Linked DNA regions of Mus musculus. The protein of the gene in region 2 purifies or fractionates together with the protein of the main gene of each other region. This does not show direct contact. Links are inferred from orthologs where the notes say so. Each region holds a gene or a part of one and is shown on either strand. Other genes may lie near its edges.

Region 1 (4,280 bases), on a different chromosome or scaffold from region 2:
GTGCGCAGTCATGGTAAAGACCCCAGTGATGCCAAAGAAGAAGCCAAGAGTAAGAGCTACCACCGGATGCTCCTCAGGAAGTCAGCAGAGGGAAGACTGTCAGGAGCAACTAAAACCCCGCTCTACTTAACAAGGATCCCCACTTCACTTACACATCCATCCTTAGTGTCTCGTGGGGAAGAAAGGACAGTGAATCCCACTCATACGCCTTCTCATGGCTTAGGAGCCTGCATCAGTGACTTCTCTTGTTCTTACAGGCTTTCCCTTCTCACCAGTTTCTAGTCCCCAGTTGAGCAGCTGATCTGGTCCTCCCAATCCACACAAAACAAAGTACTGGGCTCCTCTTCACTTATGCATCAAACAGTTACTAAGGGCCTTTTTTTTGGGGCGGGGGGAGGTTTGAGACAGGGTTTCTCTGTGTAGCCCTGGCTGTCCTGGAACTCACTCTGTAGACCAGGCTGGCCTCGAAGTCAGACATCCACCTGCCTCTGCCTCCTGAGTGCTGGGATCAAAGGCGTGCGCCACCACTGCCCAGCTACTAAGTGCCTTTTAAATGTACACAGTGAGCTAGGTACTAAGAGAGATGCCTTGAATGAAAGACAAGGTGTCTACCTTCCCTGCACTTTCCAGCTCTACCTTTTTTTAAATCTTGCTTCTGTTTTCAGTCATGCAGGCTGCAAAGGAAAGTCTGTCCTGACTGACTCATCTTCTTTATAGGACACCCAGACCTGAGCTACCACTTGAAAGTGTCTTTACTAACATCTTTTCATTCCAGCGTTCCCTTGTCAGCCTTTTAGGGGCCTGGCTGTTGTTCCTCCTATCAGTGACATTGATACTGTGCCCCAGTTTGTGGCTTGTCTTGACCTGCTATACACTCTTCACTCTCACCCTTCTTGTTGTTCCTCCTATCTGTGACATTGATACTGTGGCCCGGTCTGTTGCCTGTCTGAACCTGCTGTACACTCCTCACTCTTAGCCTTCTTCCTCTACAGCTGACTCACACGTCCCTCTTTGCTACTACAGTCAATTACATACCAGACAAAACATTTTCTTTCTTTCTTTCTTTTTTTTTTTTTTTGGTTTTATGAGGCAGGGTGTCTCTGTGTAGCCCTGGCTGTTCTGGAACTCACTCTGTAGACCAGGCTGGCCTCGAACTCAGAAATCCGCCTGCCTTTGCCTCCCGAGTGCTGGGATAAAAGACATGCGCCGCCACCACCATGCCCAGCTCAGACAAAACATTTTCAGTAATCACTTATTAAACCAACACGGCTTTTGGTATGAAGCTAAGCATTATATGAATGAAAGGATAAGATATTTGCCCTCAGGCTGGTGAGCTGGCCCTCGCCAGCAAGCCTGGTGAGCTGTCAATCCCTGGAATCCACATGGAGAGAACCGACTCCCACAAATTGTCGTCTGGCCTCTACATGTGCACATACAATAATAAACAAACATGAAAGTAAAAACGCTTATCCCTACCTTCAAATGAGTAGTGGTGATAATTAGACAGACTATAAAAGTTTAAGATTTCCAGGTCAAGTTTGATAATCAACAACTGCCACACAAATATATTTCTCCAGTAAATCTGCTTTTTCACTGTGTAAAACACTGTGTATGTCTCTCTCTTCTCTCCTAAAACTTCACCATCATCATCCCCTGTAAAATTTGAAAAGGCTCTATACTCTTCTCAGCCAACATAGGATATGACCCGGGGCTCCACACTTCTTGAAGAAAACAGATATGATCAAATGGTAACTATATATTCCTATTGTAAACTTTATCCATCTATGTCCATCCAACCATTTTTTTCTTCTATTGGTGTACCAACCACTCCCCTCTTTACTTATTTTTGGTTGTCATGGTTTGAGGTGCTGGGAGTCAAATCCAGACTCACGCCCACTAGGCAATCACTGAGCCACATTCCAGTTTTACTCTGGAATCTTACATATCAGGTCTCTACCATTATGTTGGCTCACTCTCGTTGGTCTATAAAAAGCACTGTAGGTATCTTTAAAACAATTCAATTTCTCTATTAATAAGAAAAATCATAGAATCAGCTCTACAGTTTTGTCCTAACTCCTACCATCTTTTTATTTTACAGGAACTAAGTTTTCATTCACTGAAATGATTCACATAATCGCGGTTGCCCAAAATCTTCATCAGGATATCCAATGGTCAATTATGTGTCTTTGTTTTGGTGTGATTCTAAGTTTTAACCACTTCTTAATTTCCTGAAAGATGTTTTTTTTTTTCCTTAAAGGTTTTGGTAACACTCACTGACAACAGTAGAACATAAGCCCGACTAGTCCTTTACACAGTAGTGTTGAATAAACCCAACTGATGAATTGCTTCCCGTTTGTAAGACAAGAGACAAAGCAGGTGCTTACATAATATTAATAGAGGATTCCCAAAGTTCTACATTCGAGAAAAATCCCAGGCTCCAGCTGGCAAGGAACCAAATAGTTACTCCGTATGTCTTTTTGGACTCAGAAGAGCCTAACGCCTGGTCCTAGGCGTTACGAGGTCACTGATGCCAGGGGGCTCTCAATAGGGGTGGGGCGAAAAGTCGCTCAAAGAACACACCCCTGAGGACGAGCCCAGGACAGAACCTCCTTTGACAGAACTGATAACAAGCTTCCCCAACTATGGGCGGAGGGACAAAAAACGCTCCCCAGGCACGCAGCAACAGTCAAGCAACAACATCGCTTCCCTGTCACGCAGAAAGCGGGGTACTCACATTCGCCCTCTTAGCCGCTTGCATCGCCATCTTGGCGGGCTGATGTAGGTTACCGTAAGATCCCTCTGGATATTTCTAAACCTGATCGCCTTCGTGGGCGACACGGCGTCAGATACAGAGTATTTACAGCCAGGTAGCGCCGGAAGCTTTTACAGCAATGCCGGAAAGTCCGCGTCTCAAATTAGGACGCGTTTACTTCCTAGAAAAGATGCTCCAAGTCACACTACAGAGAACGCATTCTCAAGCCGGAAAGCGAACTAGCAAGCTCCAGAACGCTTCCGGATTGCGGACCGGAAGGGGCGGGGCGAATGCCAAGGGAAGGGAGGTGTTCCGCTTGAGGGGGTGTGGCTTAAGGAGCGAGGGGCGGGGTCCATGAGAGAGATCAGACCCAGAGCCTGCGATTTAGCGCGCCCAGGTCTCGGAGAGGAACCCGGCTCGCCAGCGCTTCCAACAGAGGTCCCAATCTGAACTTTGCTCGGAAGGCCGATCCCGGGGCCCTGGGCCTCAGGTCGCGCTTCACCTGACCGTCGAACTCCCTCACCCGGTTCCCGCGGCCCCTGTCCACGCAAACAGAGCACACAACCCGTCACATGCATCTTTTTATTTCCTTAGACCAGCTTTACAGGACATGGGAAGAGAGGCCACTTCCGAGTTTGCTCGGAGGTCCTCCTTCACTAGGGCAGCTCCAAGACGATTTTGCCCGCGCTCCTGTTAGCCCCCACATATTAGCCACTTGAATATAAGTTGCCGGGTAGACTCTATCAAGAACCAGCAGCAGACGTTGGGGGCTGTTTGCAGAGAAAGGCAGAATCTGCTCCGTGGAGGTTTTCACCGGCGTTTGTACTAAGGAAAAGATTATCAGCCTGAAGAAAGGCCTTAACCCTGTTATTCTCCATCCTGCCTAGCCCTAATGTTTTGAGTATCTAAAACAGCACACCCTTTCACTTCCCATCAGGAAAGAGCATGCTTTCAAATGTGCACCCTCATTCTGTACCAGGTAAGACTGAAGGCTGCAGTAAAATACTAGTGCAAGTGACAGACTTACATAGCTTAACACAAAAGGAATGCTGAAGCCTTATCGCTGCGAAACTGATGGGATATACTCCCAAAGCTGGCTCCTTCTATGATGCTACAGAGGATTTTAGGAACATAAACCTGTCGAAGGTCCAAGCTTACATAGGCTTTTTTGGTATACTGAGAAGAGGTCTACCCTGAAAACAAAGCCGTGGGCCTATGTGAAGACTTAATACTGTGGCCATGTTTTTGCTCATTCTGATAGAAACATATAAATATGAAGTATAGAAATACGTGGGAGGGTTTAGAGAATTAATTATCTGAACACAGTTACCAATTGGTACACAAGGTAGCAGACTTATTTATAGGCTCCCTAAAGCAAGCTGTTTGTACAAAGGCAGTTTTCTGGGTGACAATCCTACTTTCTTTCACTTACCACCCACCTCATTATCCCTAGATCGAGCAAACTAGTGATCCGACTACCTCATTTAAAAAGTAGTTTTAAAGGCTGGGCGTGGTGGCGCACGCCTTT
Region 2 (4,093 bases):
TTGTCAAGTTGCTCTAGGAGAAGGTAAGGAGGGGTCCTTGTCCCTAGCCTGGGAAATGCTGCTCTTGGCATATGTGTGTTGGGCAGCATCGCCCTCTGCTGGCCATTCCTGGTGATGCAGCTGGGTTTTTACCAGGCCATTCCCCAAATGTCGGGAATGCTTACCAAGTTCTAACTCTTCCAAACCTGTTTCAAGATTAATGCACCACCTTCCTCGTTGTGATCTCCAGTTCCTTTCCTTGGTTCCCTACCCCAAACCTTATGGGTTCCAAACACCTCATAGGGCTACGAAGCCCTTTATGATCTGACACTGACACGTGGCCTCCATTTTTTTTTTTGAGTCTGGGTTCTCTGGCTGCCCTGGAACTCGCTCTGTAGACCTGGCTGGCCTCGAACTCAGAAATCTGCCTGTCTCTGCCTCCCAAGTGCTAGGATTAAAGGTGTGCACCACCACTGCCCAGCTTCCAATAATCTTTTATTTTTTGCTTTCTTGAGAAAAACTTGCCATGTAACCCTGGCCGGCCTTATTCAAGACAAGATTTCGTCAAACCCTCAGTGATATCCCTGCCTCTGTCTCCTGAGTGCTGTATGCTCTGCATAGTAAACAGTTAACAGCACCCAGAAGTACCTTTGTCAGCAAAACTGCCTGAAGTACTTCCTAACTCCTGCCCATGCCTTTCAGGTCTCATCTGGGGGCTTTATCCCTGCCAGAAAGTCTCTGACCCTGCCTGTGGTGAGCAGGTCCTTCCCTTTTACACAGCGAATTCCTCATATCTGCAGGTTTCCTTCTTGTTTGGAAACACAAAGGTTCTCCCCCCAATTTAATCTCATGCCAGCCCTACAGGCTGGATGTGATGATAGAAGGAAGTCAAATCTACAGAGAGCACAAAGTTGGATGAGATGGTTCGGCGGTTAAAGATGCTTGCTGCCAACCTTGACTGAATTTTATCCACACTCCCATAAGTTGTCTTCTGACCGCATAAGTATTTTTAAGAGGACTCGAGGGTCTATGCGATAGGGCCAATACAACCACTCCAAATATTAACACACGAGGACCTCAAGTTAGAGTAGCGATCAAATGACACACGGTCCCCGCTGACTTTCCCATTTGATAGGTTTAAGATCCATCAGCGGGGCTACGCATGCGCATAAGAGAAGGCCCGCCTTTGACCCGGAACTTTGATGCTTGGGTGCCGCATAAAGACGCTTGCGTAACCGGAAGTACCTGCGGGTACCTAGGGTCCAGCCTGGCTTCCGGAGCCCGCTGTGGCGGTTACTGTGTTGAAGAGACCTGTTATGGAGGCGGTGGCAGCTGCAGAGGTGACGGAGAGGAAGCCGGATAATGGTGAGACGTTTGCCAGGCTCAGGTGACCGGAGGGTGCTCTTGCGGTGTGACCAGGAAATGGTTCCGGCAAGCGCTGAGGACTCTAGGAAGTCTGACCGCCGCTTACTGGCACTTTCAACACTTGGTCCACCTTGTGGGTCTGGTTATTCGGCCTTGTAGCAGGTTGACGTTTCCCTTCTTCTTTGAAATGAACCCCTTTCCATGTCCTAGGCTAACCCACTTTTTTTTTTACCATGCCAACGCTTCAAGCAAATAACAACTCTCCTGCAGATTCTTCCAGTCTCAGACCAACCTTTCTCAAGTTAACATCATTTCTGTGCCAACCTGAGTTTCTCCGTATCCCAAGCTAGCTCTCCTCTTGTCCCATGAAAGCTCACATCAAACCAACAGCCCCCATTGCATTCTAACCCTTCCTGACCCCAACGTCTGCCTCTTTAGGTCCTAAAGTTCTCATTCCGCCCCTTTAGGTCCTTTCTCCCTCGCACCTTCAATGCCTTTTACTTTGCTACTGACTTCCTACAAGTATTGGCTTGGGGGGGCGGGGGCGGGGGCTTTTGTTTTGTTTTGTTTTGGGGTTTTGTTCACAGCCTTTTATTATTGCCAAGGTCAGCCTCCAAATTGCTGTCCTCCAATCCCAGGTCCCAAGGTACTGAGTTTACAGCCCTGTGCCACCACGCCTGTCTTTAATGTTTCATAGTAGTCTGATGTGCGATGACAACTTGGAACTGGGAGTTACTGAAGCTGAATAGCAGATTATGAATGTAGAGGCAGAGGTGTGTTCTAGTGTGTGTTTCAATCTTTGATAATCTCCAATTGTGGTGATTTATATCTGTAACCCCAGCACTTGGGAGACTGAGGCAGGAGATTACCCTTAAGTTTGAAGACATCCTAAACTACATAGTGAGTTCCAGACTACAAAGTCAAACCCTGTACTATGAGGCCCTGCTTCAAAGTATATATATTAACATTTTCTGTAACAAAATTGTATGTATCTTTTAAACTTTCTGGTGCTGGGCCTCAAGCCTTACAAATGCCAATCACATTTGCTACCATGAAGCCATAAAAGAGAATCTGGGGCAAGATGTGGTGAAATGGGCCTATAGTCAGGAGCCTAGAAGGTTCAAAGCCAGGGATTAAGGCCGTAGCTTATTAGTGGGATGTTTGCATAGCATGCCTGAGGCCCTGGGTTCAATCCCCAGCACCATCTAAACTGTGTGTGGTAGAGCAGGCCTGTCCTCCTAGCACTGCCAAGACACTGCTCATAATTTTCTTACCCATCACCTACTACAGCGTGCTCTCCACCCTGAACTTGTTCCAGTCAGGTAGGATCCCCAGGGACGTCCATTCATGGCTATTCAATCTACTTGATTAGAGTTTTGTTGTTTTGTTACATTCTCATTGTTATTCATTCATTTGTTTGATTGTATATTTATTTATTTGAGGTGGGGTTTCACCCTGTAGCCTAGGCTGACCTAGAACTCACTATGTAGTCTAGCCTGGTCTAAAACTCATGAATCATTCTACCCCAGCCTCCTGAATGCTGGGGCTATTTGTGTGTGTGTGTGTGTGTGTGTGTGTGTGTGTGTGTGTGTGTATGCATACATACATACCTGCCCAGCATCCAGACTGTTTTCTTACTATACTGCTTCCAGCAGCCAGTGCCAGCCACCTGGCACAGTTGCCTTATGAGAGAAACAATATGCACTGCTTCCCTTCTGTTTCTCAGGCTGCTCTTTCTTAGCTCTTCCAACTGCTATACCAAAGACCAGAAACTGGGTGTTTGGTTTTTTGTTGTTGTTGTTTCCTTTTCGGTTTCTCGAGACAGGGTTTCTCTGTGTAGCCCTGACTGTCCTAGACTTGATTTATAGACCAGGCAGTACTCGAACTCACAGGTGTTCCCCTGCCTCTGCCTCCCAAGTGCTAGAATTTGTGAGCTGCCATGTGGATGCTGGGAATTGAATCTGGACTCTGGAAGAGCAGCAGCCTATGCTCTTAAACGCTGAGCCATCTCTCCAGCTACAAGATGTCACTTTCCTGGCAAGCCTGCTACCCTGCAGTTTAAAAGTGAGCCATCCTAACATTTGCTGCTTCTGTCTTTTTTAGGCTTTTCATTGGATACTTTATTTATCATCATCATCATTTTGTTATCATTGGTGTTTTGGATTTTGTTGTTTGTTTTTTGAGATTTTTATTTTGAAATTCAATATCACTGTGTAGGCCTGGCTGGCCTTGAACTCAGAGAGATCCACTTGCCTCTGCTTCCTCCACGCTGAAACTGAAGGTGTGTACCACCATACCAGGCTTGTCCGACTGTCTTTCTACCTAGCCAGGGAAGCACGTAATATATTCCATGGTTGTTTGTTTGTTTGTTTGTTGTTTTTTCGAGACAGGGTTTCTCTGTATAGGCCTGGCTGTCCTGGAACTCACTCTGTAGACCAGGCTGGCCTCGAACTCAGAAATCCACCTGCCTCTGCCTCCCGAGTGCTGGGATTAAAGGCATGAGCCACCATGCCTGGCATATTCCATGGTTTTGTTAATTAGTTAGACTATTGACTGTGCAGCATCACGGCCTGTTCACCATGGTCTCTCTGTCTAAGGCCTAGAACATTACCCAGAATGTAGCAGGTACTCAGTAAACGTGAGCTGTTTGAATGTGTCAGTTCCCAGCCTCCTCCTGCCTAAGCCCCCTTCCCCTGATGCCCTTAACTAAAGACTCCTCTTGACTCTCAGACGGCGTGGAGCCCAGAGT
Region 3 (3,646 bases), on a different chromosome or scaffold from region 2:
TATTACTGTGAGTGAGTGGTAGGAACTGAACTCAGGTTCTATGCGAGAGCAGTTAAATGGTCTTAACTACTAAGCCTTCTAGGAAAGAATGTGTTTCTAGGAAAGTAATTAGGACTTAGACCTACCTTTCTTTTTTGCTCATTTATGGAAAAAATAGGATGCATGGCAGTAAGATTCATATTACCACCTTTTTTTTTTTTTTTTTTTTTTTTTGCATAGGAAGGGCAAATTAAGTTTGTGAATAATTCATTTTCATTCATTACTTACCTAATCCAGAGGTTTTTGTTGTTGTTACAGTTTTGAGACAGGGTTTCCCTGTGTAGCCTTGGTTATCCTGAAATTCCAGGCTATCCTTGAACTCAGAAATCCACATACCTCTATCCAGAATCATTTTTGTTTTCCCATCACGAATAAAAATCCTTATTAGCTGAGTGTGGTGAGAGTGAGGGAGGATTATGAGTTTCTGGGTTATCTTGTCTCAGGATGACTTACCCCACCTCCCCAAGCCCTGCCACCACCAAGACACTGGATATTCAGAGCTCTTTTACATTCTTGGATAAATTACTCAAATCCACTTCTAATCTTTCTTCCCTCTGAGCTTGCTGCAAAGCTTGATAGTGTGAGTTCCAGATACAAGATTCATGTGGTAGAGAGAGACAGTGCACTCCCATGGGTTAGTCTCTGATCTCCACGCTTGCTCAGTGACGTGTGTACTCAAACACAGGCATACAAATAAATAATCTTTTTTCTTTTTTTTCTTTTTTTTTTGTAGCTGGGATTAAAGGTGTGTGCTACCACGCCCGACTTTTTTTTTTCTTCATTAAGATTGGGTTTTACTACGTGGCTCTGGGTTGCCTGAAACTCAAGTCAACCAGATTGACTTTGAACTCACAGAGATGCACTTTTCTCTGGCTCATAACATATTTCTTTAAAGTATTTATTATAATACATGTGGATTCCTTCTTCCCCAGAGGTTCTAATGTCTCAGGGATCCAGTTTGGGGATGCACTAATTTCAGAGCTGAAAGTCTTGCATTGGAGTTGTAGATAGACAAAATTACATGAATTTTCTAAACTCAGAGTTTAAACTCAGTGTATATTTCAGGGTACCTTGTATCATCTGGAGATTATTACAGTAGCTTTGCTTTTAGTTTTCAATGAGCTTATTAAGTATATATCATATAAGAGTAAAAGAAAGCTACACAGCTTCCATTCCAAATGGCTGTTCTAACCATATAGAAGTTTAGTGAGCTTTGTAGACTTTTTAGGCCTGGTTATTCTGGTTATTTTGATTTATTTTTCTCAATTTACAATTTTTTTTATAATTTTTTTTTTAAAAGAGAAGTCAAAAAAAAAGAGAGGAGTTAAAGAACCATGGCAAATAATAGATTGATAGGTACAGCAGATAAATAAAACTTCATTGAATCAGGGTTTCATAGAATCAAGCACGGAGACCGCTGGAGTAGCCTGGTTAAGAGAACAAAGGTGGGGCTGTTAAGATGGCCAGTGGTTAAGAGCGCCGACTGCTCTTCCAAAGGTCCTGAGTTCAAATCCCAGCAACCATGTGGTAGCTCACAACCATCTGTAACGAAATCTGATGCTCTCTTCTGGAGTATCTGAAGACACACTACATTGTACATATAATAAACAAATAAAAAAGCCGGGCGTGGTGGCGCATGCCCTTAATCCCAGCACTCCGGAGGTAGAGGCAGGTGGATTTCTGATTCGAGGCCAGCCTGGTCTATAGAGTGAGTTCCAGGACAGCCAGGGAGGGCTATACAGAGAAACCCTGTCTCGAAAAACAGAGAGAGAGAGAGAGAGAGAGAGAGAGAGAGAAGAGGGGAGGGGAGGGGAGGGGAGGGGAGGGTCTTCTCATGGCGGAACTGCCTTCTCTTTCCTGCTGCAGCCAGATTTTTTTTTTTAAAGATTTATTTATTTATTTATTTATTTATTTATTTATTTATTTATTTATTTATTTATTATGTATACAGTGTTCTGCCTGCATGTATGCCTGCAGGCCAGAAGAGGGCATCAGCTCCCATTTCAGTTGGTTGTGAGCCACCATGTGGTTGCTGGGAGTTGAACTCAGGACCTCTGGAAGAACAGACAGTGCTCTTAACTTCTGAGCCATCTCTCCAGTCCTATAGCCAGACATTTTTATCATGGGGCAAATAATAGACGATTTAACTGTTTTCAAGAACAGTGTTTTATTTTTGGGCTCTTTTGCTATTCTTCTGTCTTCTTCCCTTGTAAAAGGGAGTCAGCCTGAGCCAGGATATGTGTTTTGGAAATAGTTTGAGACAAACATGCTTGGGTCTAAAATGGGGATTATTTCTCTTTCAGAGTTATCTTTTACAAGCTTAAGCAGCTCATGGCAAATTACCAACACATATATATTCACAAAGGTTTATAACCCAGAATGTTTTGTGTATCTTTAAAATTCTATTTATTTTAATTTGCATTTTTTTCATCTGCATTTATGTCTGTATTAGGGTATTGACTCTCATGGAATTGCAGTTACAGATAGTTGTAAGTCACTGTGTGGGTGCTAGGAATTGAACAGGGTCCTTTGGAAGAGCAGCCAGTGCTCTTAACTGTTGAGCCATCTCTAGCCTTGTGTTTTAATCTAGTGCTTTTTACATTGTTCAGTTCCAAATGAAAGCTGTAAATTTGTTTTCATCATAAGCATTTGCAAATCAGTAAGCAAAATGATATCTAACTTCCACTGAAAGATACATTTATTGTTTTGTTTTTTTTTTTGTGCAATAGAAAATTTGTAGTTATATCTCTAAGGTGTATAGGTATGTGAAACAAAATTCCTTTGCTTTGTACAGACCCCTGGGCATACCCCATCTTTAAGATGGGATGAGACACCGGGTCGTGCAAAAGGAAGTGAAACACCTGGCGCAACCCCAGGCTCAAAAATATGGGACCCTACACCGAGTCATACACCTGCGGGAGCTGCTACTCCTGGGCGAGGCGACACACCAGGCCATGCAACCCCGGGCCATGGTGGTGCAACTTCCAGTGCTCGTAAAAACAGATGGGATGAGACCCCCAAAACAGAAAGAGGTAGGTACTTTAGTGCAGTGTAGATGAGTGTGTGGATGAGGTGTTGACTCCAGCATTTTGTCTTCAGACTGAGGTCCTTATTTCCTAGTATAAATATAGATTTCTATAAATAACCAGCTGATGTGGATGTGCCTAAACCTACCAAGTTTATAAAACTTGTTTTTCTTGTACTGTTTGTCTCAGTACCCAAGCTGAAATCTGTTAGAACCTTTCTTAATAACCTTTCGACTTTGGACTGGTGACGTGGCTCAGAGGTAAAGGCTCTTGCCACCAACCAAACTGGAGGACCAGGGTATGATCCCTGGGACCCACATGGTAGAAGGAGACACCAGCTCCACAGGTAACCTCTAACCTCCACATGTGTATCATGGCATGTGCTCCCCAACATACACAGTAAAGAAAGGCAACACACTTCAACTTTGTTTAAATTAAAATTTAAAAAACTTAGGTAATATTGTACTCAATTAATTTCCCCTCTTTTGAAGAGGCTGAAGGTTTTAGGAAGAATCTTTTTTTTTTTTAAACTTAAAAAAAATTGTTGTGGATACTATTAGCCTTCTTTCTTTCCTCAGCCT

Evidence for each region.
Region 1: the proteins of Ccdc97 (region 2) and Sf3b6 purify together in Homo sapiens (affinity purification with mass spectrometry; 3 studies listed by BioGRID and IntAct, counting the BioPlex papers as one, with this or other methods). This does not show direct contact. The link is inferred for Mus musculus from reciprocal best matches to the Homo sapiens genes CCDC97 and SF3B6.
Region 3: the proteins of Ccdc97 (region 2) and Sf3b1 purify together in Homo sapiens (co-immunoprecipitation; 4 studies listed by BioGRID and IntAct, counting the BioPlex papers as one, with this or other methods). This does not show direct contact. The link is inferred for Mus musculus from reciprocal best matches to the Homo sapiens genes CCDC97 and SF3B1.

Annotation. Positions count from the first base shown.
Region 1 is NC_000078.6:4,816,274-4,820,553, reverse strand, and holds the start of Sf3b6 (splicing factor 3B subunit 6), read right to left. Parts: upstream 2,947-4,280; 5' UTR 2,765-2,946; coding exon 2,735-2,764; intron 1-2,734.
Region 2 is NC_000073.6:25,716,169-25,720,261, reverse strand, and holds the start of Ccdc97 (coiled-coil domain-containing protein 97), read left to right. Parts: upstream 1-1,226; 5' UTR 1,227-1,295; coding exon 1,296-1,344; exon of another isoform or gene 1,345-1,366; intron 1,367-1,982; exon of another isoform or gene 1,983-2,117; intron 2,118-3,262; exon of another isoform or gene 3,263-3,408; intron 3,409-4,074; coding exon 4,075-4,093. UniProt on the Homo sapiens protein: May play a role pre-mRNA splicing through the association with the splicing factor SF3B complex which is involved in branch-site recognition.
Region 3 is NC_000067.6:55,006,905-55,010,550, reverse strand, and holds part of Sf3b1 (splicing factor 3B subunit 1), read left to right. Parts: intron 1-2,833; coding exon 2,834-3,071; intron 3,072-3,646. UniProt on the Homo sapiens protein: Component of the 17S U2 SnRNP complex of the spliceosome, a large ribonucleoprotein complex that removes introns from transcribed pre-mRNAs.